4 linked regions of the Diceros bicornis minor genome follow. The protein of the gene in region 1 purifies or fractionates together with the protein of each later gene. This does not show direct contact. Links are inferred from orthologs where the notes say so. Each region holds a gene or a part of one and is shown in the gene's direction. Other genes may lie near its edges.

Region 1 (6,879 bases):
GGGAGATGGCCACAGCTACCCTAGACATTCAAGATTTGCCTCCACAGGGCTGGCCCAGTGGCATAGTGGTTAAGTTCGCACGCTCCGCTTCGGCAGCCTGGGGTTCACAGGTTCGGATCCCAGGCGCAGACCTATGCACCGCTCATCAAGCCATGCTGTGGCGGTGCCCCGTATACAAAGTAGAGGAAGATGGGCACAGATGTTAGCTCAGGGACCATCCTCCTCAAGCAAAAAGAGGAGGATTGGCAACGGATGTTAGCTCAGGACCAATCTTCCCCACCAAAAAAATAAATAAAAATAAAAAGAGGAACCCTGATGAAATAAAAATATTAAAAAAAAAGATTTGTCTTCAGGACTAGGAAAAAGCCATGTGCTCCCTCAAGTTTGATGCCACCTGGTCAAAACTGTCATTCCGTTTGCCAGGAAGAGAAGAGGAGGCAGGAATGGCTCCTGGGGAGGCAGACCTTGTGACTGCCACAACGTGATGTGAAGAAAGTAAAGCAGGGCGCCGAGTCCCAGGGAGTGAGCAGAGAGTGGCAGCTGGTGTTAGGTGGACGGCCAGGGAAGGAGATCTGGGTTCCAGGCCACGGCACGGCACAGTGCCAGCTCTGCCGAGGGGACTAGCAGAGGGTGTTAGAGAACTGGCTGGCTGCTGTGTGGAGGTTGTAGGAGGCAAGATTACTGGCCTGGAGGGTAGATAGAAGGCTTTAAGGTAAGGTGCTGGTGGCCTGGGGTAGCAATGAAGAGGGACGGAAATGCGAGGATGAGAGATGCATCTTAGAAGCAGACTCGGACTTGTTGACGGGTCACACGTCACGGGGAGAGGTGGTAAGGAAAAGGACGGGTCAAGGTTGGCCTGGTAGATTTGGGTCTGAGCCGCTGAGTAGATGCCATCACCTCAGGTGGGGAAGAGAGACAGTCAGAGGATTGGTTGCACCCAGGTGTGACCGCGTCTGTAATAGTGCATGCTGTGTTCTGACAGACTGGCGGGGGAGCGGGGAGAGGGTAGTGTCAGGAGCTTTCACAGAGGGGCCACACTTAGCTCAGTAAATCTTGAAGATCGGGAGGGGGGAGGGGCAGGGGAGGAAGCAGAGTTTGAAGCAGTTGGGGCATTGCGGTTAAGAGAAAGGGCTCAGGCATCAGATGAACCAGAATTTACATTCTGGTGCCTCTTCCTTCTTTGTGACCTTGGGCAAGTCACTTTCCCTGTTTGAGCTTCAGTTTTCTCCTTCTGTAAAATGGGGTGGAAAATGCTCACCCCCCACGTATCTGTGGAATGAGAAAACGTAAATTACGTGTTTGGCAGGGTGCACCATATGAATGTAGCAGCTACTGTGTGATGAGCGCTCATGCTATCGCTGTTATTGTTTAGGTCCCACCCTGCATAACAGGTTAAGCTTGATGACTCTGGAAAGGAAAGACTCTGGCTTAAAGGGTTCAGCGGTATATTAGTTTATTGCCGCATAACAAATTACCCTGAAATTTAACAGCTTAAAACAAACAGAAGCTTTTATAATAGTGCTGCTTAGAGGGACACGGAACTGAAACTGCTTGTGGTGATCCAGACTCACCCCCAACCTGATCTGTGGTCGGAATACAGTGGCAACCACAAGTGGGTGGTCCAGGAGAGTCTCTGAATGTAAGAAGAGAGTTGGGGGAAGGTTTCTTGTGAATTACCCCCCCTCAGCCCGCCCCCGCTCCCATCCCCAGATACAGCGTTTTCTCAACTGGTGTTCCCGGAATTATCTGCATCCTAGTCATCTGGGGGTCCTGTTAAAAAAAGCTCATATACCATACCCAGTCCCTGACACGGACTATTATAATCAGAATCATTGAGGGTAGGGCCCTAGAACTGGAAGTTTTTTAAAGAAGCTTTCTTAGAATAGTTTTCAGATTTACAGAAAAATTGGGAAGATGATAGAATTCCCATATACCCTGCACCCAGTTTCCCCTACTATTAACATCTTACATTAGTATGGTACATTTGTTACAACTAATGAACCAATATTGATACATTATTATTAACTAAAGTCCATGTTTTATTAACATTTCCTTAGTTTTTACCTAATGCCCCTCTTCTGTTCCAGGATCCCACCTAGGACACCATATTACATTTGGTAGTGATGTCTCCTTAGGCTCCTCTTGGCTGTGACAGTTCCTCAGACTTTACCTGTTTTGGATGACTTTTAAGGAGTCCTGGTCAGATATCTTGAAGAATGTGTCTCGTGTGGGATTTGTCTGATATTTTTCCCATGATTAAGCTGGGAGGAAGACCGCAGAGGTGAAGTGCCCTTTTCACCACATGTTGTTGAGGGTTCACACTATCAACGTGACTCACCACGCTGACATTATCCTCAGTCAAGGGCTGACAGTGTTCATCAGGTTTCTTCACCGTAAACTTGGTCCCCACCCCCCTCCCTTCCCATACTGTACTGGGTGGAAGGAAATCACTGTGCACAGGCCACACTTAGCACACATGAAGAGCTATGCTCCACCTTTTTTGTGTGTGTGTGAGGAAGATCAGCCCTGAGCTAACATCCATGCCAATCCTCCTCTTTTTCTTGAGGAAGACCTGCCCTGAGCAACATCTATTGCCAATCCTCCTCCTTTTTCTCCCCAAGGCCCCAGTAGATAGTTGTACGTCATAGTTGCACATCCTTCTAGTTGCTGTATGTGGGACGCGGCCTCAGCATGGCTGGAGAAGCGGTGCGTAGGTGCGCACCCGGGATCCGAACCCCGGGCTGCCAGTAGCAGAGCACGCGCACTTAACCGCTAAGCCACGGGGCGGGGCAGGCCCAGCTCCACCTTCTTGAAGGTGTATTTACATAAACTATTTGGAATTCTTCTGCACAGAATATTTGTGTATTCTCTCTCATTTATTTATTCATTTATATCAGCATGGGCTCATGGGTATTTTATACACTGGGTTATAATCCAATACTACTTTATTTTGTTGGTCAAATTGTTCCAGCTTTGGCCATTGGGAGCTCTTTCAGTTGGCTCCTGTGTCTCTCTGACATACCTCGTCGTGTGTGTGTGAGAGTGAGAGAGCGCTCACACGCGACGCTTTCTTTCTGGCGCTACAAGATGCTCCAGGCTCATCTTGTGTAATTTCCTGCCCAGTCCTAGAACCAGCCATTTATCCAAGGAGCCCTGGTTCCTTTTATTGGAGAAGGGTATTAAAAACTAAGATGTGGGCACTAGGCATGCTCAAACCTGAATTTTTAACAGGCTCTCTCCAGCTATTTTTTCATGAAACCACAGTTGGAGAACCTCCGCTCTCCGTTTTGTTCCCGTCTCTCAAGTATTTCACTGGCTTTCCCAAGCCAGTTTCAGCCTCCGCCGGCAGAGGGCGCCAGAAAAGGCAGAACGGTTTCCTTCCTACCACAGAGGCCTTCCCAAGAGAAGAAGGACGCGCGACCAGGAGCCGGGGCGGGGACTAAACGCTGCGCCAGAGAACTGTCAAACCCAGGCGGGGCGTGTTTCCCGGCAGGGGCCGGGCACTGTCACGTGAGGGCCAGCGGTCAGCTGACTAGATCCCAAGTTCTCCGCAGAGGTACGACGCGACCCAGGGCTGCTGTTGATTGGTGGAGGAGGATCCAGAAAACTAGCACTTCGGGGCGGGACCTTGACGATGGGGACTACCATTGGCTTATGCAGAGCCACGTGGGCAGTCGTACGCTGCACCGGGAAGAGAGTGGGGCGCCCTATGCGGACGTGTGCGCATGCGTCAAAGCCCGGGGTCGCCGATTGGAGGCCGTGAGTCACGGGGCGGCGTGCAGTGGCCGGTGGGGGCGGGGCCGGCGGGGCGCGCGCCGAGCTGCGAGGCCGCTGGTTGGCCAGCGCGAGCCACGTGGTCCGGGGCAGCTGGGGGTGCGCGGCGGTGCGACGTCAACGCAGCCCTGTGAGCTCCCCCGACCCGTCTCTGCGACCCGGCGACGGCGGAGTCCTCGGAGGGCCGTGCCCGGGCGGGTTGCTGAGCACTCCTGCGGCCGCCATGGACAACTCCGGGAAGGAGGCGGAGGCGATGGCGCTGCTGGCCGAGGCGGAGCGCAAAGTGAAGAACTCGCAGTCCTTCTTCTCGGGCCTCTTCGGGTGAGAGCCGCGCGGAGGGGCGGCCGGGAGCGAGGCTGAGAGGACGAAGGAGTCGTGGCCTAGAGGCGGCCGGGTCGGGACGAGGGCATGCCGGGGCCTGGTGACAGGGTCTAAGGCCGCGGAGGGGACGCAGGCTGAGGGCCGGGCTGTGGCGACACGGTGTGAGGAGAGACGGTCTGGGATGGCGGAAGGGCCTTGGGCTGAGGATACCCGGGCCGAGGCGACACCATCTTGGGACGGAAAGGGGACCCAGGCTGAAGACGGGCCAAGGGGCCAGAGGACTGTGAGGCCTGGGCGGGGACCCGGCCTGAGGGCTTGAGGGAGCCTAGGGGAGCAGCCGGGTCGCCTTTGGAGCTCTGGAGAGCCTGTCTGAAGGGTCCCAGACGGCCGTGGTGGGGCCGGGGACTGGGGACACCTGCCCCAGGGATCGGCCTTCCCAAGGCCTGGGGCGGGGGGTTTGGGTGAACTCGGGGTGGTTGGGTGAGGGGATCCTGGGGGGTGGGAGGTGCCCGGGACGAGTGGGGCCCTGGGTGGTGGTGATGGTGTAAGAGGACCTGACAGTCGTGTGAGAGCTGAGCAGAAGAATGAATCCCCCGGGGTGACGGAGTTACTACCGAGGAGGCCCGGGCTACGGGGCTGGAGACTGATGTGGAGTAGGGGGATGAGTGAAGCCGGCTTGGTTTAGGAAATGGAGAGAGAAAGAGGAGAGATGAGGGAGAGGGAAAGCCAAAGGAGTGGAAAGCTTTTTGTGTAAGGATGGAGTAGGGATGGGGCGTGTGCGCGGGATGACTGGTGTGCTGAGAGGGGGGCCTGAGCGGGGCTGGGAGACAGAACGAGCGCCTGCAGTCTGGTAGACATTTCCCATCAGACTCACATTAGCCTGTAAACTAGTTCTGATGACCGTCCTCCGAGGAATTTTAGTGGCTTAGGAGTGTCAGAAGCCTGGGTTTGAAGTGTGGCTCTGTCACTGACTTCATGCCCTTGGGTAAGTTGTTTGATTTCCCTGTTAAAGGGGATCACTAGTAAAACCTATGTCAGGTATTTGCTGCTAGTATTGAGTAAGAGTGCACATAAAGCGCTTAGAACTGAGCCTGGCACATGGTTAACGCCCTGAGAGTCTTAGCTGTCATCAGCGTCGCTTCCAGGAAGGCAGCGGGTGTGGAGCCTGTACGCTTCTGGTGGGGATCAGGGTGGGAGCCCAGGGGGATGTCTGAGAGGGGTCAGAGGAGGGAGAGACTGAGTGGGAGGAGGAAGGGGGAGCTGACAGGTTGTGGGAAAGGGACTCTGGGCCATGGGGACTTAGCAGAGTTGGGGGAAGGGGCTTGAGGCTCGGGGCGGAGGGAGAAGAGGGGAAGAAGGGAGGACTGGAGGGGGTTGTGTTGCTTTGGGGCTGGGAGGAGAACTGGAGAGGGAGTGGTGGGTCTGTAGAGAGTTAGGAAGAACTGTGGTGGAGGTGGGCAGGGAGTCTGGCGACAGAGAGAGGCAGAGACTGGGGAAGGCTGCGGCCTGGGAGAATCTGCCAGAAGGCTAGGGAAGGGGTCTGGGAGGAGGGCCTGAGGATACGGAGAGACAGTGTTAGGAGATTGGTGAGAAATGAAGAAGGTTCTTTCCAGGAGAGGAGACGGAGCAGCCTGTTATTTGATGTTGGATGATGTTTAGCAAAAGAACTTGAATAACAAGGCTGAGAGTTATCTGGTCTGGAGAGGCATCCGGGGCTCATGGATTGTATTGATTAGGTGGGGAGTGTTTTATTTTAGAGGCTGAGAGTGGAGAGAGGGTATGTGTGTGTTTCCTCTTCCCTCACAAGGGGAGAAGTTCAAGTGCAGTGTTTTGGGGTGGGGCCGAGAGCTCAGTTTTCCGTGATAGTTTCCCTGGGTGGTTTTTGGTGTCGGGTCCCTTTGGACTGGGAATTAGTGTCCTGTTGGTCAGTGGCTGGAGGGAGCAGCTAAGTCAGCCCGCGAGACACATGCCATCTGGTTGGGAAGGCAAGAGTAACACTTGCCAAACGCTAGTAAAGCAAAATTGTAAGGTAACTAAGGCTTAGATTATATCATGTGTGTGAAGTTCCTGAGTTGAGAGGAAGCGGCCTGAACTGGAGGAAGGCTCTTAGGAGCGAGCTGGGCCCCGAGGAACCCTAAAACTAGCAAGTCCTAGTCCTGTGGAGTGGGGGCCTGGGAGAGAGTGCTCGGCAGCGGGAATTGTGCGAACAGAGGTGTAGCGTGAGGGGAGGTTCTACCCGGAATGATGGGGAACCGAGATCCAGATGGACCAGGGATGGCTCCCCAGAGGAGAGGCCTCCATCTGGGAGCATGAACAGGGGTTCTGGGGGTGCCCTCTGGTGGGGAGCGCTTCTCTGGGCAGAAGGGCCAGCTTGAGCAAGGCCCAGATGCATGAAGCTCAGTGTGTGCACGCTTCACACGGGGAGTTCCGTGTCAGCACGTAGTTAGAACAGGCAGAAGGAGGAGGTGACGCTGAACAGGGATGAGGCCCAGTCTCGAGAAAGGGCTTGCACGTGAGGAGGTGGTAGAGAGCATTGAGGATATTAATGGGGATCTGTCTTAGTCTGTTCAGGCAGCTATAACAAAATACCGTAGACTGGGTGGCTTATAAACAACAGAAGTTTATTTGTCACAGTTTTGGAGGCTGGGACGTGCAAGGTCATGCTGCCGGGTAGATTTGGTGTCTGGTGAGAGCCCACTTCCTCATAGATAGCTGGCTTTTCACTGTGTCCTTGCTTTGTGGAAGAGGTGAACTAGCTCTCTGGGGTCTCTTTTCGTAAAGGCA
Region 2 (7,985 bases), on another chromosome or scaffold:
AGCTCTGAAATGCAGTGACTGAAGTGGAGTACAACAGAGACTCAACAAAATCACTTATAAATCTCCACTGGGGTTGATGGGGCCTAGCAGACGCTTGTAACTTCCTTCCTGTTCTCATCCTTTAGATGTGGAATCTGTGAGCTAAGCAAGCTAACTCCAGAATAGAAGATGTGGTACAATAAGCAAAGTCTTAAGGGTTCCCCTAAACCTCAACATTTTCAACATAAATTTCTTATTAATCAGTGGATATAGCTGTTCATTAAAAAAGGTTCTAGCTTGGAGCCGAACCGGTGGCGTAGTGGTTAAGTTTGTGCACTCTGCTTCGGCGGCCTGGGGTTCGCATGTTTGGATCCCGTGTGTGGACCTACCCACTGCTTATAAAGCCATGCTGTGGCAGGCATCCCACATATAAAATAGAGGAAGATGGGCAGAGATGTTGGCTCAGGGTCAATCTTCCTCAGCAAAAAGAGGAGGAATGGCAACAGATGTTACCTCAGGGCCAATCTTCCTCACCAAAAAAAAAAAAAGGTTCTAGTTTATTTCACATTTTTTATAGTGATTCAGTTTTCTTCCCATTAAGTTTTTTACATTAAACACTTGTGATAATAGGCACCTGGATTCATTTATTAGATTTGTATAAAGTGTAGGTGTCAGTCAACTAAATAACAGAAAAAGCAGGTCTGTTTTATAATTTAGACTCAGAACAACTCTAAAGCTAGTCAAGATGACAGTTGACAAGCACAATTAATTCTGATCTATAGAAACAACTTGAAGGTATAACTTTTTAACTTGTTCTTGGCAGGGCAAGAAGCAAAGTAAATCTGTATTTTTCTAGAAGAATCTTTTCACTTATAACAAAAAAGAGTGAGATTTATTTATTATCAGAATTGATAATTGAAGAGTAAAATGGAGATTATGGACACAAGTATTCTGACAATATTTTTTATAAACTAGCCACCTTGCAGAGAATAAAACTAGGATTGATGTGGTAGAAGGAACAACATCAAAAGACCAGTAATCAAGTGGATCAGTCGCCAATGAATAGCAAAGACAGACAGTACCTGTTACACTTCCTGCAGTGATGTGACCGTGGTGCCTTGTACGCTTGGCAGACTTTACAATACTGGAGGTACATGCTATCTTGAGAATTTTCCTTGGCAGCAAAATATAAACAAAAATACATCAGATATCTGACCCTAAGTAATAATAAGTCAAACCTTAGGAATAAATACTTTCCTATGGTTTGATTTTCTTTTATGGGGATGGGGAGGATGGAACCTTAACTTGTATCTGCAGCTGTTTTATTTGAGCTAAAATATTTTTAAATAATGAATTTCTGGTAACAGCAGCATCACTTTTCCAATTACCCAGAAGTCATTTTTAATTTCTCTTCTCCATGCTCCATCCAAATCCAGTGTCACTGAGTATACATACTTGGTTCTACTAAGATCCAAAATCTCAGTAGAATGGGAGGAGTTCAGAAAAAAAGGTAGCTGACAACTTGGCAGGTATTTTAGAGTGGGACTCAAACACCAGAGTTGATACTCTTTTGGAAATCAGGCCCCTCCCTTGGACCACTTTAACTACTTCCTAACTAGTTTCCTTTACTGTAGCCTCTCTAATCCAAAGCGTCTATTGTCAGAATAACATTCCTATAACACAACTCTGATTGCGTCAGAGCTGTGCTTGAAAACCTCTAATAACTCCCTATGGTCTAATTTCTCATGTATTTGAGGCCTTCCATAATCCGCCTTTGTTTCAGCCTTATCTTTACTATATAATCTCTTTTCCAGCCAAACTAGGCTGTCCATTGTTTCTGAATCCATGCTACCACCATTCTCTCAACCTGAAATGCCCTCTTCCCCATCTCCTGTGGATAATTTCCGCTCCTCCCTCAGGTCTCCAGCTGAAAACGATCAGTTCTTCTAAATTCAACAGCATCCATCACATTCTACTCGATAGTTATCTGCACAAGTGCCTTGGTTTGTCTTCTCACTTATAAGGTTCTTCAGAACATGAACTGCATTTTACCCACCTCTGTACCCACTTCAAATAGCACACTAGTGTTCCTCCAACTGTAATGTACCTAACAATCACCTGGTGATTTTTTTAAACACAGATTCTGATTCAGTAGTTCTGGAGTGGAGCCCAAGATTCTGCATTTCTGACAAACTACCAGGTGATATCCCTCAGCAAAGAATATGAAAATTCATATGCATAAACTTTCTAACAATTTTTAAAAAGCCATAAATTGATTGATACTATCAATCGAGTGATAGTATACTTCCCAATATTATGATTTCACCACAATGATTTAAAAACTTTATGACTTAAACCAGCAGTTTCTAAAGTGTTTTTCTCAGTTTTGAGGGATGTTAATGTATTACATGAAAAAAGATCCTGGAGTTAAACCACACTGTGATATTATGAAAAGTGTATGATATGCAGTGTTTCCTAGAAACTTAAGAACATGGACTCACCACCCTCCCTCCTTTTGTTTTTTTTTTTTTTGTGAGGAGGACCGGCCCTGAGCTAACATCCAATGCCAATCCTCCTCTTTTTTTTTTTTTTTTGCTAAGGAAGACTGGCCCTGGGCTAACATCCATGCCTATCTTCCTCTACTTTATATGGGATGCCGCCACAGCATGGCTTAAAAAGCGGTGTGTTGGTGCGCACCCAGGATTCGAACCGGCGAACCCTGGGCCACCGCAGTAGAGCGCGCACACTTAACTGCTTGCGCCACCAGGCTGGCTCCCTCTTTTTTTTTTTTTAAATGCAGAAGTATTCAATGAAATTACTTGGGGAAACCCTAATTTAGATCAATATCTTCAAACTGGTATGAAATAAATTCTTTGAGCTTTAAATAATGTGATTAGAATAATATGCTTAGTCTCTACCAAGGCAAAGAGCAGGCTGTGTTTGATATTATTGGTTAGCAGATAAGGCAAAAACTAAATATATGATTATCATTAGAGTTCATCACATTAAGGAATCTTTTTCTTACCGGTTTCCACCCCAGAGGGACAAAGCCAGGGCCAACAAACATGGCATTGAAGTAATTATAAAGAATCATGACAGTCCAATTTATCAACATGATGAAATTCACGCTTCCTCCAGTTGTATGTAAGGGCCAATACCACAACACAGAGTCAATCATGGCCATCGTAGAACATATTGCTATAACACTAAGGGCTATGATGGGTCCCCAGTGACACAGTCTCTTTAATTCTTGGAGATTTTCAAACTTCACAACTGAGCAGAATGTACCCATTTTGGTGAGGAAGAACGCCTTCCTATTTTTAAAGAATTATAGATTTCCTTTTTCTGTGCACACATTTCCATGTGCCACAAGTCCATGTGTGTTCTTTAACTGTCATGCCTTCAAGTTGTGAAACGGCAATGCAGATTATGCCATTTGTACTGTTACACACTCAGAGCTCTTTATCTTAAAGAGGAGAATCCAGTATCTTGGTTTGAAACCCAATCTAAAGAAAACAAAATAAGAAAGTTTAGTAAAACCTTTTATTATATACTATATTTATCAACTCCAATAATCACCTACACTAAAGCATCTTACAAATGCACTACTACGGGATGAGTATCTTAAATGTCAAAAAGAATGTTTTTCAGGCTGGCCCAGTGGCCCAGCGGTTATGTGCGAGTGCTCCCCTGCTGCAGCCGGGTTCGGATCCCAGGCAAGCACTGACCCACGGATGGTCAAGCCATGCTGTGGCGGGGTCCCATATAAAGTAGAGGAAGATGGGCACAGATGTTAGCCCAGGGCCAGTCTTCCTCAGCAAAAAGAAGAGGCTTGGCAACAGATATTAGCTCAGGGCTAATCTTCCTCATAAGAAAAAAAGAACGTTTTCATCTTATCCAAAATAGGGTTCAAGTCTGAATGGCATGTAAACTGGATACATGATTCTAAAATATACTTTTTATTCCTTTGTTCCCAACTTGTCAGAGGACTGTGACTACCCAACGTTTAATGAATGGTTTGAGGAGACAAAGTTTTAGAGCTGGGAAGGAGGCCTTAGAGTTCATCTAATCCAGCTTCCTTCTTCATGGAAAAGAAATTGGCCGGGAGGAGCTAAGTGATTAGACCAAGGTCACTAGCAACAGCAGACCTCAGAATAGAAACCAAGTCATCGAGCTCCCTTTACAGAGTTCTAAACTGCCTCTTACCTATCTCGAATTAAGTCAAGTACGATCCAGACATGGTCTATACCATTTGCCTGCGCTTGCCTCCAAAACACCATCATAAGGGTCTATTTGGGCCAAGGGTACAGAAGCGGGAGAGTGAAAGCAAAGACAGTGCGAGGAGAGGAGGGAGGGAGAGAGGTGTGTGTGAAATCACGACTGCAGGCGTATACGAGAACGACCACGAATGAGAACATTGGAGAAAAAAAGAAGAGGAAGTGCCTCTCGGAGCGAACGCCGGCAAAACCTGTAGAAGGGTCTTCCTAACTAGACTGGGGTGAGTCAGAGAACAAGGTCTGAGGTAGAGGATAATAAAAACGTCCTAGCAACAGATGCCCACTGCCTTGTGCCTCAGTTTCCCGCTCGTGCCGTGGAGCAGAGCGCTCGGATCCTCACTCAGGAGAACATGTGGGTGTTGGTCTCAACATCTGGAGAGTCTGGCCTCACTCGGGTCGGCCGAAGACCGCCAAAATCATGGTCACATCCCCCGCCTCGACTCCCACCTCAGACTGGTCATTGGTGCCCGCGCCTCTGCCACCGCATTTCCGGCGGCCTGGGCTCACCCAGAACAGGTTTTCTCTTCCTCGGATAACTCCGTCATGGGTACCCCAGTCCAGCGCAAGCAGAGAGCAAATCCTGGTTGCGAGAGGCTGGAGCGCGGGCCGCCCACGACCGGTCGGTCTCCGCCAGCGCCCTCGCCGCTGCTCTCCCGCGCAGGCCCGGTGCGCAATCTCCGTGACAGCCACTTCCGGGAAGTTCTCCACATCAAACGTCCCGCGGGAAGCAAGCTCTTGTGACTTGTATCTTGAGGAGCCGGAGCCGCTTTCCAGAACTTAAAGGAGCAAAAAATTGTTTCCAGTGATCCCTGAGAACACGCATATTTTCGGAGGCCTTTTGGGGCCCTAATCGAAGTGCTTTTTCTTAACGAATTTCTTAATCGTGAAGCCTGAGCGGAAATTAAAAAGCGCACGGCAGCCCGATTTCCAGAGGACCGAGATTGTGACGAACAACCAGGAAGCGGCCGGGCCGGGAGCTGTCGCCGGTTCTGCGTTCTGCTCTCGAGGGTGCCCCCCGGGGTCCCTCCACGGTGTTCTCCTGTCCCGCCTGGCCCCTGCCACGACCTAGGCTCCGGCCCGGGCCGATCACTCCGGAGCCACCATGTCGTCTGACTTCGAAGGCTACGAGCAGGACTTCGCGGTGCTAACTGCCGAGATCACCGGCAAGATTGCGAGGGTCCCCCGACTCCCTCCTGGTGAGCCCTGGCCCTGCCGGGGGTGTGGGGGTGGCCCGGAGAGAGCGGAGGCTCGGGGGCGGTGGAACGCCGCCTGAACAAGTGTCTCTGAGGCGCGAGGCGGGAGTGGAGCCCGGGGGCGGTGCTGGAGCCCTTCCGGAGGGATGGAGCTTACTTAGTTGAGGCCAAAGGGAGAGTCCTTTGGGGTGCAGTGAGTGAAAAGAGTCTTCGGAATCTGAGCCATCTGGGCTCGAATCCGGACTCCAGCGCCTTGTTACCTGTATAACCTTGGGAACGTTTCTCTAAGTCTCAGTTTTCGTTTGTAAAATATACAGATGTGAGTATTCAAAGAGAATGAATGAACGTACCTAGACCATGAGTCTGCAGTATACAGCAATGTTGTTTTATTAGTAATAATATTATTTTATGCGGCAAAATAGGGTTAAGAGCCACGGTGTCTGGATTCAAATCCCAGCTCTGCCACTTAGGAGTTATGGCGCTTAGGCAAGTTTCTTAACCTCTTTCAACTTTCCTTCTTGGTAAAATGGGGAGAATTGTACGTCTCTCATAGGGTTGTTGTGAAGATTAAATGATTTAACACATGGAAAACCCTTTCTTGGTGTTAGCTGCTGTTATCATTAGTATTTTTCATACCCTCAACCCCATTTATTATTTCTCATCCTTCTTGGCAATCTGTAGGCCAATTTTATGTAAAACTTGGTACAGTTTTTCTCACTTTTAAAATTCCACAACTGCCATCTAGAAGTGCTTTTATTTTTGTATTTTAGCACGGCTTACGTCCCATGCTAGACTGCCAACTATGTGAAGGTAGGATTGACTTAACTCTTGGCATTTACTTAGAGCCCAGAAAAATGTTTAAGTAAATAAACAGATGAATATAAATATGATATTTTGTGATTTTTGTTTGTAAGACATCGTTTGAGGATTTATCTTTCTCTAAATACAGATTTAATTTAAGTAGTTAGTTGCAGATAAGATTGTTACTTTTTGGCTTAGTTTTGTTAGGGAAATTGGAACATCATGGGACTGCTAGACTTGGCCTTACCTGCCTCTAGAGTGTAACATGTAGAAAAGAGGATGCTCATTGATCTGTGAACTGGTGGGCAACTTCTTTCCCACCTTGTTGGTCAGTCCTTGATGCCAGCAATAATTTCTCCTGAACCAGGTTGTCATTCCTCTTTGCCTTTCCCTACTTCCCTCAAAACTTATGTGTTTATAAATAATTGTCTTCCTTTATTTCTTTGTTTTTCTTTCCCCCCCCCACGTATTTTCTATTAATAGGGATATTTGCTTGAAGCCAGGATCTCTGAACTTACACCCCACTCATCTCCTGAAGTCCCAGTTAGTTCTGGAGGAGGTGGATCTTGTCTTAAGGAGGTTTATGAGTCCAAGTGAGGGAACAAGAGGAGAGGACGAAGGTAGCATATACCACCGAGCTCTGCTGCCTCAGAGATTTTTGTGGAGAAAGTGGCTGATGGCCTCATCACTTCATGATACATCACCTCGCCTCTTCTCTTCAGTTCTGCTTCTCTCCACTGCCCAAGATCATCTTGATTTTTGTTGTCATTGTTGTTGGAGACTACTTCCTTTGACTTGAGTCCCAGAGCCTCAGAATATCAGGACTTAATGGTTTCAGTTGGATTTTTGCTCAATTTTAATTGTAATAGTGTTAACAGTGAAACATTTTTTGTTTGGGCTAATAGCTTTTGTAGTCTGAGGGTGTTTTATAAAGTAACAGAGTCATCCCTGGGTGCAAAGTTGTAAAAACTATTTCCAAGAAAACAAATTTTGTTACAATTGCTTTTTCCTTGCCTTTATATTTTAATGTAACCATTCTTACCACGTAGAAGGAAACCTTTGAATTAAGTACCTTAAAAATAAAGTCTTGACTCTTCTTAAGTACATATAATGTAAGGCCCAAACATAGCAGCTACATTAGAGTTGAAAGGAGACTGTATAGCTGGCACTGGAAAAATGCTTACTGTCTTGACATAGTAATTCTTAAACATGCAGTGGTTTCTCTCTTAATAATTACTTGTGCTTGTTCCCTTTTAATCTGTTTCTAATTGATAAATATAAAAAGGTGAAAAATATATCCATGTAGTTATGAATTTCAGTTGTATGTTATGTGGACTAACGAATTAATGTGTACAACCATGGCAAAAACAGTCTGATTAAAAGTAATTATAATCTCTCTCTCTGGACATCATTAGTGGTTGACCCAGTGGAGGTAACTGTAATTTTATTGAGTTAAGAAGGTTAAAAATTGGAGCGAACTTTTAAGTCATAGCAGTTCACTGCACAACTTATTAACTTATTTAAATTGAAGTAGGGGGGGTAGGATTGATTGCAATTCACTTCAATCTCTGCTGTGCGTGTACAATGTATTAGATTGTTACTTCCAAAGAGAGTAGAAAAGATTGAATATTTTAAAACTTTATTTTAAAAAAGAAATTTGATTACTCTGTGATATGTTTAAACAATAAAAAGACTCTGCTCTTAGACTAAAGTGTTTGAATCTTAATTAATTTTG
Region 3 (7,831 bases), on another chromosome or scaffold:
TTTGCACTTTTGTTTTATAGGTGGTGGGTCGTTATTGGATTTTGAGTGGGAAGTGCTGTGGTCAGAGGTGTGAGCCTGTAGGATTGTGGAGGATGGATTGAGAGAGAGCAGTGGGTGACTTGCCACAGCCCAGGCAAGCAATACCAAGGCTGAACCAAGGTGGGGAGGGTCGGCAGATGTGAGAAGGAGCATAGGCTCAGGCATACCCATCCCGGGGAGAGACTTGCTTGGGCTCAAGGGAGAGGTACTTTGAGGGAGAGATTGACATTTAGTATCTGGAACCCAGAATAGGGAACTCGAGAGAAGAAGCTGGTATTTAACTTGGGCCAGAGCCTAAATCCAGACCAGTCCCATTTCAGTCCTTTCAGAGCTACTGATCCTGACCTGTCATGACCAACTCAAGATTCAGAAAGACTGGCAGCAGGCCGGCCCAGTGGCGCAGCAGTTAAGTTCGCACACTCCGCTTTGGCGGCCTGGGGTTCGCAGGTTGGGATCCCAGGTGTGCACCGACGCACCGCTTGTCAAGCCATGCTGTGGCGGCATCCCATATAAAGTAGAGGAAGATGGGCACGGATGTTAGGCCAGGGCCAGTCTTCCTCAGCAAAAAAGAGGAGGATTAGCATCAGATGTTAGCTCAGGGCTAATCTTCCTCACAAAAAAAGAAAAAAAAAAGACCAGCAGGGCCAGGGCCACCAGATGTAGCTGTGAAATAGCAAAGGCACTCTGCTCTTCAATATCACATACTTGATTTCCAGCCCTGGTTCTGGCATTTATAGCTGAGTGGGCAAATTTTTTAATTTCTCAGAGCTTCAGTTTCCTCACTTATAAAACTGGTAAACCATCACCCTGTTGAGGAAGTTACATGAGATAACAGACAGAGAACGTGGGAGCTGTCAAGCCCTGTCCAGACCATGTCACCTAGAGTCTTCCTTAGGAACAAGGCCAGTAGGAGGGAGTCTAGTTAATATGAATTTGGGGGTGGGTCGACTGGAGCCAAGAGAACACTTAAAAATTTTTTTTTTTTTTTTTTACCTAATTCTATCCTCTCTGCCTGCAGCACCGTCATCACATGTGTGGATTCTGGTATTCTTCGAGTCTGGCATGACAATGACAAAGAGGCATCCTCTGACCCAGTGAGGCTCCCCTGCCCTGATCCTGATGGTTGGGGAAGGCAGGGGGGACCAGGGTCGGAGCCAAATGAGGGCTTTGGGGGAGGAGGATTAAGGACTCTGGAACTGACTCTCATCTTCCATTCTTTTCAGCTCCTGGAACTGAGAGTGGGCCCTGGGGTGTGTAGGATGCGCCAAGACCCAGCACACCCCCACGTGGTTGCCACAGGTGGGAAGGAGAATGCTTTGAAGGTGTGGGACCTACAGGGGTCTGAGGAGCCTGTGTTCAGGGCCAAGAACGTGAGTGATGGGGTTAGGGAGTGGGCTGAGGCCACTGACTATGAGTCAGAAACCAAGTGGGCTTTAGGGCATGGTAATGGAGGGCTGAAGGAAGGGGCACACTGAGCACCCCACAACTCTGCCCCCATCTACCCCAGGTACGGAATGACTGGCTCGACCTGCGGGTTCCCATCTGGGACCAGGACATACAGTTCCTCCCTGCGTCACAGAAGCTTGTCACCTGCACAGGGTACCACCAGGTGAGGCACTATCCCATCCCTATCTCCTCCTGGGCTTATGCAGCCTCCTAGAGAAATAGCCTCCCTGTGCAGGTTCAGCCCCCGTCGTTTGGCACAGCCACCCTTCTCACCATCCTTCTTCCATCCCTGACCTCTCAGAGGAGGGAGCACTCCCCTGTCCATTCCAGCCCTGTGGCTGAGCCAGTGACCTTCTCGTATACTGCATTCTAAGATGGAGTTTCCTGAACTATGACTGTTCCCTTTCCTCCCACCTGGAAGAGGGGAGAGAAGAAGGGAGTGTTCTCTTCACAGTAGAAGCACACAGTGCAGGTGTCATGAGAGGACATTGGAATGGATGTCAAGAGAACCGTTTTTGTCCTGATGTAGCTTCTGATTTGCTTTGGGACCCAGGCCTGATGCTCTCCTCTCTGGTCTCAGCTTCTCAACTTCACAGGAAGGGCCCAACTGGGGATCTTTACAGTTGGTCTCATTTGAAGTCCTAAGACCCAGGCAGGACAGGGTCACTTTTTTGCCCTGTTGAGGCTTAACTTCTCTCCTTGAAATTCAGCACCCTCTGAAAATAGGCCTGACTTGCATTTTCATCGCAAGATGGGAGTATGGGGGGAATGGAATGCTCACACATGCAGATGATGGGAATGCTGCCACCTCCCAACCTAGGGAACCTCTCCCCTCAGCCCTGTCCATTCATGCCCCTAAGCAGCTCTCCCCCAACCACAGCACTCTGAGAAGAGGGGTACATTTCAAATGAGAAAGTTTCTCTAAGTGGGTCATAACAAGAAAGCAGTGTCTGAAGGAGGGGGCGAAGATGTGGAGAAGCCAGAGTAGGCTATGTGGGGTGAGGGTACTCTTGTGATGCCTCAGTCTTCCTCCAGGTCCGTGTCTATGATCCAGCTTCCCCCCAGCGCCGACCAGTCCTGGAAGCCACCTATGGAGAGTACCCACTGACAGCCATGACCCTCACTCCTGGGGGCAAGTGAGTGTTTAGAGGGTGAAGAGTGGGGCTCAGGAAGGACTCCAGGAAGCTCCTGCTGACCCCACCTGCCTCTGCTCTCCTCCTCAGTTCGGTGATCGTGGGGAACACTCATGGACAGCTGGCAGAAATTGACCTTCGGCAAGGTGAGTGGACTAGGGAGCCTTGGGGGAGGGGAAAGGGTGGGAGGAAGGAAAGGATTCCCTCTGAGGGGGTGCAGTGGAGCGGTTGAGGTCTCATTCAGGTGCAGATTGCCTGGGTTCAAATCTTGGCTTCACCAAAAGATGTATGACCTTGGACAAATTACTTCATCTCCCTGTGCCTTAGTAGTTCCTTCACCCATAAAATGAGATATAAATGGAGATACTAATGGTAACTCCTATCTCAGCATTATGTTGAGGATTAAATATTGAAACATAAAGTGATTGAACAGTAAACACTCAATAAATGGTTGTTGGCTGGTCAGCTAGCGGTGATATCTCCCCTCTTCTCCAGGGCGCCTAGTGGGCTGTCTGAAGGGGCTGGCGGGCAGTGTCCGAGGGTTGCAGTGCCACCCCTCAAAGCCCCTACTTGCCTCCTGTGGCTTGGACAGAGTGTTGAGAGTACACAGGATCCGGAACCCACGGGGCCTGGAGCATAAGGTGAGAGCCTGCTGCTTCCTGTTCCCTCCTTTCATGTTTCTATTTCAGCATGCTTGGCTCCTTAAGGCCCCACATCTTTTGCAGGTTTATCTCAAGTCTCAACTGAACTGCCTCCTCCTGTCAGGCAGGGATAACTGGGAGGTAAGCAGTTCGGTCTGAGAATGTGGGGCCCAAGGGCATAGATGTGAGAATTTCCTTGTGGAGAGAAAAAGGAAGCAGCTGGAACACAGACCTGGAACTGTCCATCTACCTGCTGAGTTACTTAATTTCTCTGAGGGGTGTTAATAGTTATAGTCCTGACAGGGTTACTGCCAAGGGTGACAAAGGAGCATGGATGGGAATGGTTTCCGGGAGCAGGAAATAAAAGGGGTGGTACCTGGAGAGATGATTTCCCAGCTAGAGCCTCCTTCCCTGTGAGTCTCTTACTGTGCCCCTGACTCCTAAGCTTTTCTCCCACTCACCAGGATGAGCCCCAAGAGCCTCAAGAACCCAACAAGGTGCCCCCAGAAGACACAGAGACAGATGAACTTTGGGCCTCCTTGGAGGCAGCTGCCAAGCGGAAGCTCCCTGATTTGGAGCAGACCCAAAGGGCACTCCAAACCAGACGGAGAAAGAAGAAGCGGCGTGGGTCCACTAGCCCCTGAAGGGCCTGTGCTCACTTTGTAAATAAAAAGCTCAACACCACTATGACCCTGAGCCTTTTGTGACGGGAGGAAGGAAGGAGGGGTGGCCGCTCCCAGACCTGCGGCTGCGGGATATCTGACGTCACAAAGCCGGGCGGGAGTCACGAAGGCTGGCGTGGGTGGCACGTAGTGTGGGGCCGCTGGAGGGGCCGTGCGGGGCCATGGGCTGTTGCCAAGACAAGGACTCGTACACCTCCGATGAGCAGGCCAAGGAATCTGTGGAATTGGAGGAAGGTTGGATGAGGGAAGGGCCCAGAAAGTGGGAAAGGGGGCTGTGCCAACAGGACTGCCCAGGAGGTTCGACGGGGGGCGGGTAGAGCAGAACTTAGCGGCCTCGTCATACCCGCAGGCAGCGAAAGGGTCGATGTGCACTCGCCGGACCACCACCGGAATCGCAAGTCTAACGAAAGCCTTCTGATCACTGTGGTGTGGCGGCGGCTATCCATGTTCAGCCGTCGGGGCTCTATGCCGTCAAACAAGAGGATAACCCAGAATCAAAAGCATGGGTGTGCGGTCCAGGAGATCCAGGAGGAGCCGGAGAAGGGGTGACCCCAGCCTTGCTCTCAGTCCGCCCCAGCTTCCAGAGAATAAAGTTTCTAACGTGTACCTGCCAGAGCCCTAGTGCCCCGCTACCGACTCGGGGCGCACTGGTCGCGTGCACCGCTGGGGCTGCGGGCTCTTTAAGGCTCCTCCCCGGAGGCTGGCCCAGCCCCCGGGCCCCCGGCTCTGGTTCCTTGGGGGCGGGGTCACGGGGGGGCTAGCCAATGGGAGGGCGGGGTCGCTCTTGTATTTGGGTGGAGGGCGTGTCCCTCGGGTCGCCGGCCTCGAATAGGCGTGGCAGCGCCCTCTCGTCACCGGGGGAGGGGCTACGTCTGGGTGACGTGGCGGCTTCCTGTCTTCGGTCTGGTTTCCGCGGCTTCGGCTCCCGGGGAGGAGGCGGTGACGTCCCGGGAGATCGTGGCAGTGGCGGCGGCGGCAGGCGGCAGAGAGGAGGTAGGACTGGCTCTGAGAGGGGTCTGGCCGCCGTGTCAGCTCCGGGCAGCGGCTTTCTGGGGGCGGCGACAGACGGGGGGAAGGGAACCAGGGCCAAGCGAGCAAGTCCTGCCGGCCCGGCTCGGGGTGAGCGAACACTTCGCCGTCCAATCAGGAAAGGCCCTCTTGAGAAAGACGTCGGCATTAGCTAATCAGCGGCTGCAGTCCTCTAGAAGGCGGGACTTGGGCGGGGGTGGGACTTCCTGTTTCAAATAAACACCTAGAGGTTCCCCCCTCCGCCCACCGAAGTGTGTGCCCCTCAGAAGGTCCGTCACCGTTTCTACCTGAGGAGTCGAAGGAACCCGTGGATACGTGAGGGCCCAGTTAGGGCCTGGGGCAGTTGCACAGGCCGGCCTGGAGCTTCGGGGCCACGGGACCTGGCTCTGGCTCCGCTTCAGGACCCCAGCCTGCGCTCTGGCAGCCAGAGCCGAGTTAGAAGAGTCGAGGAGGGGGACGGCTGAGGCCGGAGAGGAAGCGGGGCCCTGCCCGCTGCGGGCCGGCCCCAGGATCTGCGGGTGGCTTTGGGCGCGAAAGTCCGTGCCAAGAGAGAAAGGGCCCGAGGATTTGCTGGTTGGGGGGTGTGGGGGGGTAATTTGTGGGGAAGGAGGCTGCGTGGGGAATGACACTCTCCCCTCCACAACAGTCCGAGGTTATGCGTCTCAATGATCCCGCGGAAACGCTACGGGTCTAAGAACACGGATCAGGGTGTCTACCTGGGTCTCTCAAAGACACAGGTCCTGTCCCCTGCAACTGCTGGCAGTAGCAGCAGCGACATCGCCCCTCTGCCCCCCCCAGTGGCCCTGGCCCCTCCCCCTCCCGACACCATGTCCTGCCGAGATCGGACCCAGGAGTTCCTGTCCGCCTGCAAGTCCCTGCAGAGCCGTCAGGTAAGGACCTGGAGTGGGGAAGGCAGGAGTGAGCCTTACTCAAATCTGGGAGAGGCTGTGCTCCAGCACTGTTGATCGAAGTCATTCTTGGGGGAACCTGATGGAAAACTGATCAGCCTTGGAGGAGGCGGTAGGATCTGCTAAGCAACAGAGAAGAGGTGGGCTAGCTATCTAGAGGCAGGATCTAGACTGTTTTGGGGAGGAATCCCCCGGAGGCTAGGGTTGCTATTCTGGAAGGAATAGCCCAGGGTGAGAGGTGGCTGCAATGTACTTGGTTTGGATAAGGAACAGGTTCTAGAAAGAGCCTTTAGCTCACAGACATGCACCTTGAATTCTAGTTCTCTTGAATATAGTTCTACCACAAGTTTTCTGTGTGACCACAGGGAAGTTAGCGTAGTTGGGCCTCAGTTTTTATATCTGTAAAATGAAGTCCTCTAGATAAGTAGTTTTTATCAAAATCATTTTGGAGTGCTTTTTAAAAAATTAGATTCCCTTGTCTCAGTCCAGACTTTCTGAATCTAAGTGGGACCTGAGTGACCATTTTTAAGTACTTTTACTGATCAGCTCTTGTTAACAACTGCTGTTCTATATGATCTCCAAGAGCTTTCCAGTTATCCTGATTCAAGGGGTAGAATGGTAATACTAGCTACCATTTATTTAGTGCTTACAACGTACCAGTATTTGGCTAAAATGCTTTACAGCCCTTATGTCATTTACTCTTAGCAACAACAACAGGAAGCATGTGGATTGTCTTCATTTTACAGAAAAGGAAATAGAGAGTGGTTTAAGTAACTTAAATAGTTTAAGTAGAATGATTTAACAGAATGGTTTAAGTAACTTGCCCCAAATCCCCCAGCTGGTGAATGGTGAAGTCAAGATTTGAACTGGGGTTTACCTGTCTAGACTGTCTGGTGGAGGACACCACTAGTACTAGAGAGAGAGTTTAGTGGACACCTTAGGAACGGTGAGGAACAGCTGGAAATGGAGAGGGGGGACTAAAGTCTCACCACTTGACATTGCTTTTCAGAATGGAATCCAGACAAACAAGCCAGCTCTGCATGCTGTCCGGCAGCGCAGTGAATTCACCCTCATGGCCAAGTGAGTTGAGAGAAGTTATGTGCTGGGGTGATACAGTGTCTGAGAAGCAGGCTTGCCTGTGGTGGCCTTGGCTGTGAGGGCGGGGATTGGTGGTGCTGGAGCTAGTGTGGGAATAGGCCCTCTCCTGCCCTTTCCCACAGTGTTCTCACACATGCTCATTTGCAGGCGCATTGGGAAAGACCTCAGCAACACATTTGCCAAGCTGGAGAAGCTGACAATCTGTAAGTGTTCTTGGGGTCTTTCAGAGATGGGCCAGTGAACCAAAGAGGGCTGAGGAACTGTATACCCTAAGCCTTGTCTTTGACGTCACCTGTTGTGGCTTTCTGTTTGTCTCTGCAGTGGCAAAGCGCAAGTCCCTCTTTGATGATAAAGCAGTGGAAATCGAGGAGCTAACTTATATCATCAAACAGGTGAGCTGCTAGCTATTGGGAGAGCCCAGTGTTCCAGTCAAATTGCTTCCATCATTTTCCATTGCCATGGAGGCCCAGAGCAAGTTTCTAGAGCCAGCCCCAAACATCCTGCTCATCCATTGAGTTAGTAGACACTTATTGATTATCTACTGTATACAAAGCAGTGTGCTGGGCACTTGCCTCACAAACATGAAGCAAGATTCCTGTCTTCAAGGGCTTATTATCTAGAAGAGGTATGTAGCCCCATAAATTCATATTTATGAGTAGGAGGCAAGTAGTACAGAAAAGATCTTATAAAAAGATGAATGAGGGGCCGGCCCTGTGGTGTAGCGCTTAAGTGCTCGAGCTCCGGGGCTGGTGGCCTGGGTTCAGATCCAGGGCGCGCATACTTGTCAGGCCATGCTGTGGCAGTGTCCCACATAAAGTGGAGGGTGATGGGCACAGATGTTAGCTCAGGGCCAG
Region 4 (7,148 bases), on another chromosome or scaffold:
TAATTACAAGGAAACAAATAGTAATTTTACAGTGAAGAAACCAACAGACACCACCTAAACCAAGTGATCAAAGTTAACATCACCACCAAAAAGGTGGAATCACTGAAATTACTGAATGTGCAGATAGAACCCTCCATGCAATTTTTTTTTTTTTTTTTTTTTTTGCTAAGGAAGATTTGCCCTTAGCTAACATCTATTGCCAATCCTCCTCTTTTTTTGCTTGAGGAAGATTAGCCCTGAGCTAACATCTGTGCCAATATTCCTCCACTTTATATGTGGGTCGCTGCCACAGCATGGCTGACGAGTGGTGTAGGTCTGCACCCAGGATCCAAACCTGAACCCATGAACCTGGGCCACCAGAGCAGAGCGTGCTGAACTTAACCACTATGCCACAGGGTGACCCTGCAAATAATTTTCACTTAGTGATGTAAAGCTTGTCAGTGCTTTTGCTACCACAAAATTCAGTACTAAACCACCAACTATGACAAAAATCTAACAAATTCTGTTTGATTTGAGGCTGGTAGACACTAAGCCTCTGAAATCACTTGAAGCATAATTTTCCTAAGTTTTGTCTTTGTGAAAATTGTATGCTTTACAAATTATGATGGAGCAGGCCAAATCTTCCCATTAATATTTCTATTATTGTATAGTAATGCAAGATAAAGTTATTATGGAAACTATATTGGAAGCTATAGTTTACAAATACTGAAATTGATTCTATTTTTAAATTTTCTTATCAAAGGGGATTAAATACATCATAAGCAAAAAATATGCTAAAAGGCCTGTCTACTTTTTGATTTCAAATAATTAAAGCTGATATTTATTGAACATTTAATATGTGCCAGGCACATTTTTTTCTGCATTATTTCATTTAATTCTCACAGGTTCATAAGGCAGATTATATTATCACCATTTATCAGATGAGGAAATGGTTAGAGAGGTTAAGAACATGGCACAAGGACTGGTTGTCTGACACTAGCAATACTGCATTCTTTCTCCAAATATTTTTTCAATTGCTAACAAGTAGGAAATCTAATTAATTTGAGTTTCATTGAATTCCATCTTTACTTTCGTTCTGTCCAGGGTTTGTTGGGCAAATTTTAACACATAGCATCAAGGAGAACAGTAGACAATTAAAAATCTAAGATAACTAAGAGTTGGCCATATTGTTATTATAATTATATGGAAGCTTATTTATACAGTCTTTGTTTTATATCAAGCTTTGCGTTCTTATGGAGGAAAAACAGGATTTTGATTAAATATAAAATGGGTAGTTAAACCTCTAAATAGGACATACTTTGTAGGAAGCTAAAGCATATGTATTTATTCAGGTAATCATTACTGATTATTTCATTTATATACATATTTACAAGTCTTAACAAAATGGACAAATGTAAATACTATATTATTTTAACTTCCTGTTTTCTATCCTAAAAGCAGATTTCTTAGACCTAGTGAAAATAAATTTTTCAAGTAACTTAATCAGAAAATTTTATAATTGATGTAATCATTCATATTTGAAGAATGTCATGATCTACTTTTTAAATTTGAAGTCTTTATTATTGAAAATATTCTTGTTATTACAGTTTATTTACACCCTAAATAAAAAAAAATAGGTAAGGTACTTCATTTGGCTTCTGAATTTGCTGTATCTTGCCTACAACAAAACAAGTCACTCTGAGTTTATCATGGATGAGTCACAAAGCAAGAGTTTGGACTTTATCATTAGTTTCAGTCCTATTTTTAGAGGTATGGGGATAGAAAGAAGTTCTTAATCTGGAGACATTTTAAATGGCTTTTGTAGTTTTCTTCAGAAAGGAAATAGGCTGTCAAATTTCCAGACCATCACAGCATACTTTAAATATATAATAACTATTTTGTACAAAATGTTTACATACCACATCTTATCAATGTATATGCCACTGACATCAATGGAATTTCACAGGCAATGGAACATATTAGTAAGCCTTGTCAAAACAGGCATTTTCCTCCTCCTTTAAACTGTTATAATTGTCCAAGTATAAATAATCAAAAGGATGCAGTTTCTTTCCATGTATTACTTACAGATTGACTACTGTCTAAAAAAGCACAAATTTCAAGGACAAGCTTTTCTCTCCTTGTTCTTTCTAAAAAATACATAAAATGGAAAACAATCTTATACTAAAGTCCAGGGGCCAGCCCAGTGGCATAGTGGTTAAGCTCGCTCAGCTGCTGGCTACCCGGTTTGGATCCCAGGGGCACACCGAGGCACCACTTGTCAGGCCATGCTGTGGCAGCGTCCCACCTAAAGTGGAGGAAGATGGGCACGGATGTTAGCTTAGGGCCAGTCTTCCTCGGGAAAAAGAGGAGGATTGGCATGGATGTTAGCTCAGGGCTGATCTTTCTCACAAAAAAAAAAAAAAAAAAGTCCAAATTATAGGTAAGAAAACAAAAACTAAGCGACACAGGAGAGTGGAGGTGAATTTTCAAATATTGGTATCTTACAAGATTTGCAGGTGTTTCATTTTTCATTAGCATTGGTTTGTTTTCTGTAATATATGAACATTTTAAATTGATAAGAATAGAATTTTTATATAACATTAGATTTTTCTCATTTGAATCCATTTAAAGATTCTCATTTTCATTCCACCATAACTTTTCTTTGAACACATATCTCAAAAATAGAAAAAATGCCCAATGGGAAGTTTTATTTACTTGGAAGTAAAACTGAAAAAGAGAGAAAATAATTTTCACAATTTCAAAGATGATAAAAATCTATATTTCAAGTGGTTTCTGACCTCCCTTAAAGAATGTGAAAATTGTATATAACGTTTTATAAAGTAATCTTAAGAGCCAGATGAATGTTAGCGTGCTCTGGGTCTAGTTTTAATCATATGCTTCTTACAATATAATGAAAGAATGATTGATTTGGTAATGTTGAACTTACTGATTAAACTGACCCCAACAAACACTGGTCATTATTTTGGTGGAAATATTTACAAGCAATTACAGTCACTGAATTCTTGCAGTTGTTTCTTGTTACGTTCCTGATTTTACAATTCCCCATAGTAAAGGTGCGAAAACTATTTACCCTCCTTTTCGAGAAAGAGCCTGATGGAAAGACCTGCGGGGTATAAACACAAATACAGACATTTAGAAGTTGATGGCTTTAAGATTCATTTTGTTGCTAAGTTTTTGTCCTTTCTTAAATCAAGATTTGTGCATTTTCCCTTAAAATCCCCACGCTACTTTGCCTTGGCCCCACCGGATACGTGCTCCCTACCCACTTCAGACCCTGTTGACTCGGCTCCTGCCCGCAGTTCCAGCGTCGCAGGTCCCCAGCGCCCGCGCTAGTTGGAGCCCGCGGTGTCCGATCGCCCAGGACGCCGAACCCGGGTCGCTTGGGGCTGCGCGGGACCCGCGCGCTGCGAGTCTCGGCGGCCGATCCCAGCTCCAGGCCCTCCTGGGGATCTGAGGCCTCTCCCAAAACATCTCTAAAGGGCGTTCGTTCCCTTTGTTCAGTCATTCAACAAATATCTGTTCAATTTCCCATGCCCCCCCCGTCCTCGGAAAACCAACTCCGGCCTCACTTCGCAAGGGCACTATCCTCGCCTTGTCAAGGACCCAAAGAGGCCGAGGAAAACGAATCTCCGCCGCTACTTAGCAGACACCGCGTGTGATTCACCAACAGCCGTCCCTCCGAGTCTCGAGTGTCCGGGGGCATTACGCCACCTCTCTTCCCTTCATCCTTCACTGCCCGAGAAAGCGTTAATGGCAAAGAGTGACCACGGCCACGCTCTGTGGTTCTTGCCTCGGAGCCAGCCTTACGCCAAGTTCCTCCACACCGCGAGCCGCCACGCTCTCCCCAAGCCAGCAGCTTGGGGAGAGCTTCAGGCCCCAGCCGGGGCATCCCGGACCAAGGGCCGGGAGCGGTCTGAGAGTCCGGGCCTCCAACACCTCCAGGCTGGAGGTGGGTAGAGAATCGCGTCTGGGTGTGGCGGCCCAGGGTGTCTCAGCCGGACTTTGCCATCCCGCCCAGAGGCATGGTCCCCCGGCACGCGCAGCGGAACTACAACTCCCAGCACCGCGGCCGCCCGGACTTCCGGAAGCCAAAGCCGGGCGGGGAGGAAGCGGCTGAGACCGGGCTAAAAGACCGGGGGTTAATGTAACCAGAGGGGAGCGGGTGGGAAGGGCTATAGGGTTAAGCTGTCAATTCGCCACCATGAATGTGGTTTTTGCTGTGAAGCAGTACATTTCCAAAATGATAGAGGACAGCGGACCGGGTATGAAAGTACTTCTCATGGATAAAGAGACGGTGAGTTTGCTTTTGCTCAGTTCTTGTTTGTGAGGGAACCCACCCTCCCTTACAATAGCTGGTCCCATTCCACTGTAGGATTTAGTAATTCATTAAAGAGCTTTTTAATGAGGGTCAGTTCTGTGTGGAACTGAAAGGTTGTATGAAACTTGCCCAGTAGGTTTTCAGCCTAAATGGTTCTGACTACTACCAGAGATTTCTTCTTCTACCCGGAACGATTTATTGAAATCAGAAATCCTTTTCTAAATGTCCCTGCCAAGAAATAATATGTGAGAGAGCACATAGAAGACTTTGGGATGGTCCTATTATTTCCACTCAGCGTTGTGTTTTCAAAGTACAGCTGTTGGGGCTCAAGCTGAGATGATAGGTTATTATTTGTTGGTCACAGAATTTGGAAAAAAAAACTCTTTAAGATGGTGGAAAAAATTTGGGGAGAAATTTATGGATTGTCCGTGTTCAGAGAAAGCATGTTTTTCATTCTGGTACGTTACCTACATGTTTCGGATGCTAAGTAAGTGTTATTACATATGTTAGTGTTTAAGTTATCCAGCTAAGTAGTAATGAAAATTTTTTTTAAGTCATAAGTATTGCTGCTTGTTTTTATTATTCTAGACTAGCATAAGATTAGTTAATTCTTTTTCTTTACAGACTGGCATAGTGAGTATGGTATACACACAATCGGAGATTCTTCAGAAGGAAGTATACCTTTTTGAACGCATTGATTCTCAAAATCGAGAAATCATGAAACACCTGAAAGCAATTTGTTTTCTTCGACCTACGAAGGTACTACATAAACTGAGCTGCCATCTGCCCAGGCAAATACAGAACACTATGATCTGAAAGCATTAAGGGAAAATAAATGTGTATTATCATCATTTGTGGCATCATAATTATCCTCGTTTATCAGAGTTATGACCTTGACTCTCCTCCTTTCCACATTTCAGTTCACTCCTTACAGCCAGTTTTTCCTTCAAGATATCTTTTAGGTTCTCAGCTACTTCCAAAGCCGCTAACTACCCTAACAGAGACCCACGTCACTTCATTCCTGGATTAACCTCCATACCTATCACACTGAACACCATTGCCGATTAGTCTTATATACTTGCATACTTATATCAGTGTTGTAAGTCTTTATCATTTTATTCACATCTATGTTCAGGAACCTATAATGGCTCAATTTTACTTGTATTACTAAATCTATATTTAGTAGCCCAGCCCTCAAAACCCTCCTTTAGCAGGTCTGGTCTGCCCTTATGTATCCAACCTCCTATGTCGTACCTCTGCTGCTCAACTACAGCCAACTAGACCTTTTTATCATCCCTCCACGTGCTCATTTCTGTCCTCTGTTTGTTCTCTTCCCCTAATTACAAGTTCTTTAGCCTTCTGTCAGTTTCATCCATCATCTAAATATAGCCTGAGTCCTCCTTTAAAACTCCTTTATTATTTCAAACTTATTTTGCATATTCTCTTGCCTTATAGTCTTGTTCTTCAACTCCAATGTACTCTTAAAAATTTATTTATTTATTATTTATTTTTTCCCCCAAAGCCCCAGCAGATAGTTGTATGTCATAGTTGCACATCCTTCTAGTTGCTGTATGTGGGACGCGGCCTCAGCATGGCCAGGGAAGCGGTGCGTCGGTGCGCGCCCGGGATCCGAACCCGGGCCACCAGCAGCGGAGCTCACGCACTTAACCGCTAAGCCACGGGGCCGGCCCAATGTACTCTTTTACCATGCTTGTACATTATATACTTTCCAAAATATAAATCTGATCGTGTCACCCCCGCTTGAAATCCTTGAATGAATTCTCATTGCTTTTGTAATGAAGACAAAACTCCTTAATTGTGGCCTGCAAGGCCTTGTATGGTCTAGTTCTTGCCATTTCTACAGCCTCATTTCAAACCATTCCCTTTTGCTTTTAGCTACACTAATCTTTCAGTCCACTGTATTAAATCATGCCACAGGGCCTTTGCACAGGCTCTTCTCTCTGCCTGGAACTTCTTCACTTCCTCAAGCAAATCTTCACTGGCCTTGCTGGCCAGGTCAAACTCCCCTCTTATAAGCACTTACAGCACCATCTTCCTCTCCCTATTGTTTGTCAAGGTTGAAGTTTTATATGGTTTGTGTGATTAATTAGTATCTGTCTCACCTACCAGCAGTAAGCTCCATGAGAGCAGAGATGGTGTCTTCTTTTTCACACTCTTATGTCCCTAGTGCCTGCCATATAATGGATACTCAATAAATAGTTCGTGAATTAATGAATACATTAATTAATAATATAGTAGTTTCCAATTGTTTCACATTTGTAGCTCTTAGTCATGAAATTTTGGTTCTGAGAGCGATCTTAGAGATCATCTAGTCCATCATTTCCTAACACTTTATTAGCCAACCTCTTTACAGCTATATATATATATAATCTCTCAAACTCAAAATGTGTTCTTAAAAACAATTTTTCCTTAAGATTATATTATGAAGTTAATTTTTAATGTATTTTTTAATCTAAATGACAATTTTTAAAACTTTTTTCTCATTTAACAAGCAATGTGTATTGCTTATATTACTTTTAATTCTGTAAGGAAATGTATGATTTTTTTAAACATTAAAAAATGATATATCATGTATAGTTTGGGGACCAAATTTATATTGAAATTTAATCATGTGTTATAGATCAAAAATAGATAAAACTTGCATTATGATCTTATGCAAGTGGAATTCTTGCCAGCCCTGGTGGTCTGGTGGTTAAGATTTGGTGCTCTCACTGCCCCGGCCTGGGTTTGTTTCCCAATCAGCGAACCACACGAACCATACCACCGCCCATCTGTCAGTTGTCATACTGTGGCCAAATAGTGGCTGCAT

Evidence for each region.
Region 2: the proteins of NAPA (region 1) and VTI1A purify together in Homo sapiens (affinity purification with mass spectrometry; 3 studies listed by BioGRID and IntAct, with this or other methods). This does not show direct contact. The link is inferred for Diceros bicornis minor from reciprocal best matches to the Homo sapiens genes NAPA and VTI1A.
Region 3: the proteins of NAPA (region 1) and STX5 purify together in Homo sapiens (affinity purification with mass spectrometry; 3 studies listed by BioGRID and IntAct, with this or other methods). This does not show direct contact. The link is inferred for Diceros bicornis minor from reciprocal best matches to the Homo sapiens genes NAPA and STX5.
Region 4: the proteins of NAPA (region 1) and VPS45 purify together in Homo sapiens (affinity purification with mass spectrometry; 3 studies listed by BioGRID and IntAct, with this or other methods). This does not show direct contact. The link is inferred for Diceros bicornis minor from reciprocal best matches to the Homo sapiens genes NAPA and VPS45.

What each region holds. Positions count from the first base shown.
Region 1 is NC_080773.1:22,906,881-22,913,759, reverse strand, and holds the start of NAPA (alpha-soluble NSF attachment protein), read left to right. Parts: upstream 1-3,868; 5' UTR 3,869-3,997; coding exon 3,998-4,095; intron 4,096-6,879. UniProt on the Homo sapiens protein: Required for vesicular transport between the endoplasmic reticulum and the Golgi apparatus. Together with GNA12 promotes CDH5 localization to plasma membrane.
Region 2 is NC_080745.1:76,031,924-76,039,908, forward strand, and holds the start of VTI1A (vesicle transport through interaction with t-SNAREs homolog 1A), read left to right. Parts: upstream 1-4,984; 5' UTR 4,985-5,358; coding exon 5,359-5,452; intron 5,453-7,985. Other genes in the region: palmitoyltransferase ZDHHC6, read right to left, coding at 1,062-1,153, 3,005-3,271. UniProt on the Homo sapiens protein: V-SNARE that mediates vesicle transport pathways through interactions with t-SNAREs on the target membrane. These interactions are proposed to mediate aspects of the specificity of vesicle trafficking and to promote fusion of the lipid bilayers.
Region 3 is NC_080770.1:10,319,084-10,326,914, forward strand, and holds the start of STX5 (syntaxin-5), read left to right. Parts: upstream 1-4,824; 5' UTR 4,825-4,935; intron 4,936-5,617; 5' UTR 5,618-5,636; coding exon 5,637-5,861; intron 5,862-6,888; coding exon 6,889-6,959; intron 6,960-7,124; coding exon 7,125-7,180; intron 7,181-7,298; coding exon 7,299-7,369; intron 7,370-7,831. Other genes in the region: WDR74 (WD repeat-containing protein 74), read left to right, coding at 1,058-1,133, 1,263-1,409, 1,547-1,648, 2,521-2,621, 2,709-2,764, 3,114-3,259, 3,344-3,400, 3,724-3,903; TEX54 (testis-expressed protein 54), read left to right, coding at 4,104-4,176, 4,292-4,491. UniProt on the Homo sapiens protein: Mediates endoplasmic reticulum to Golgi transport.
Region 4 is NC_080743.1:54,580,142-54,587,289, forward strand, and holds the start of VPS45 (vacuolar protein sorting-associated protein 45), read left to right. Parts: upstream 1-4,138; 5' UTR 4,139-4,201; coding exon 4,202-4,294; intron 4,295-4,942; coding exon 4,943-5,077; intron 5,078-7,148. UniProt on the Homo sapiens protein: May play a role in vesicle-mediated protein trafficking from the Golgi stack through the trans-Golgi network.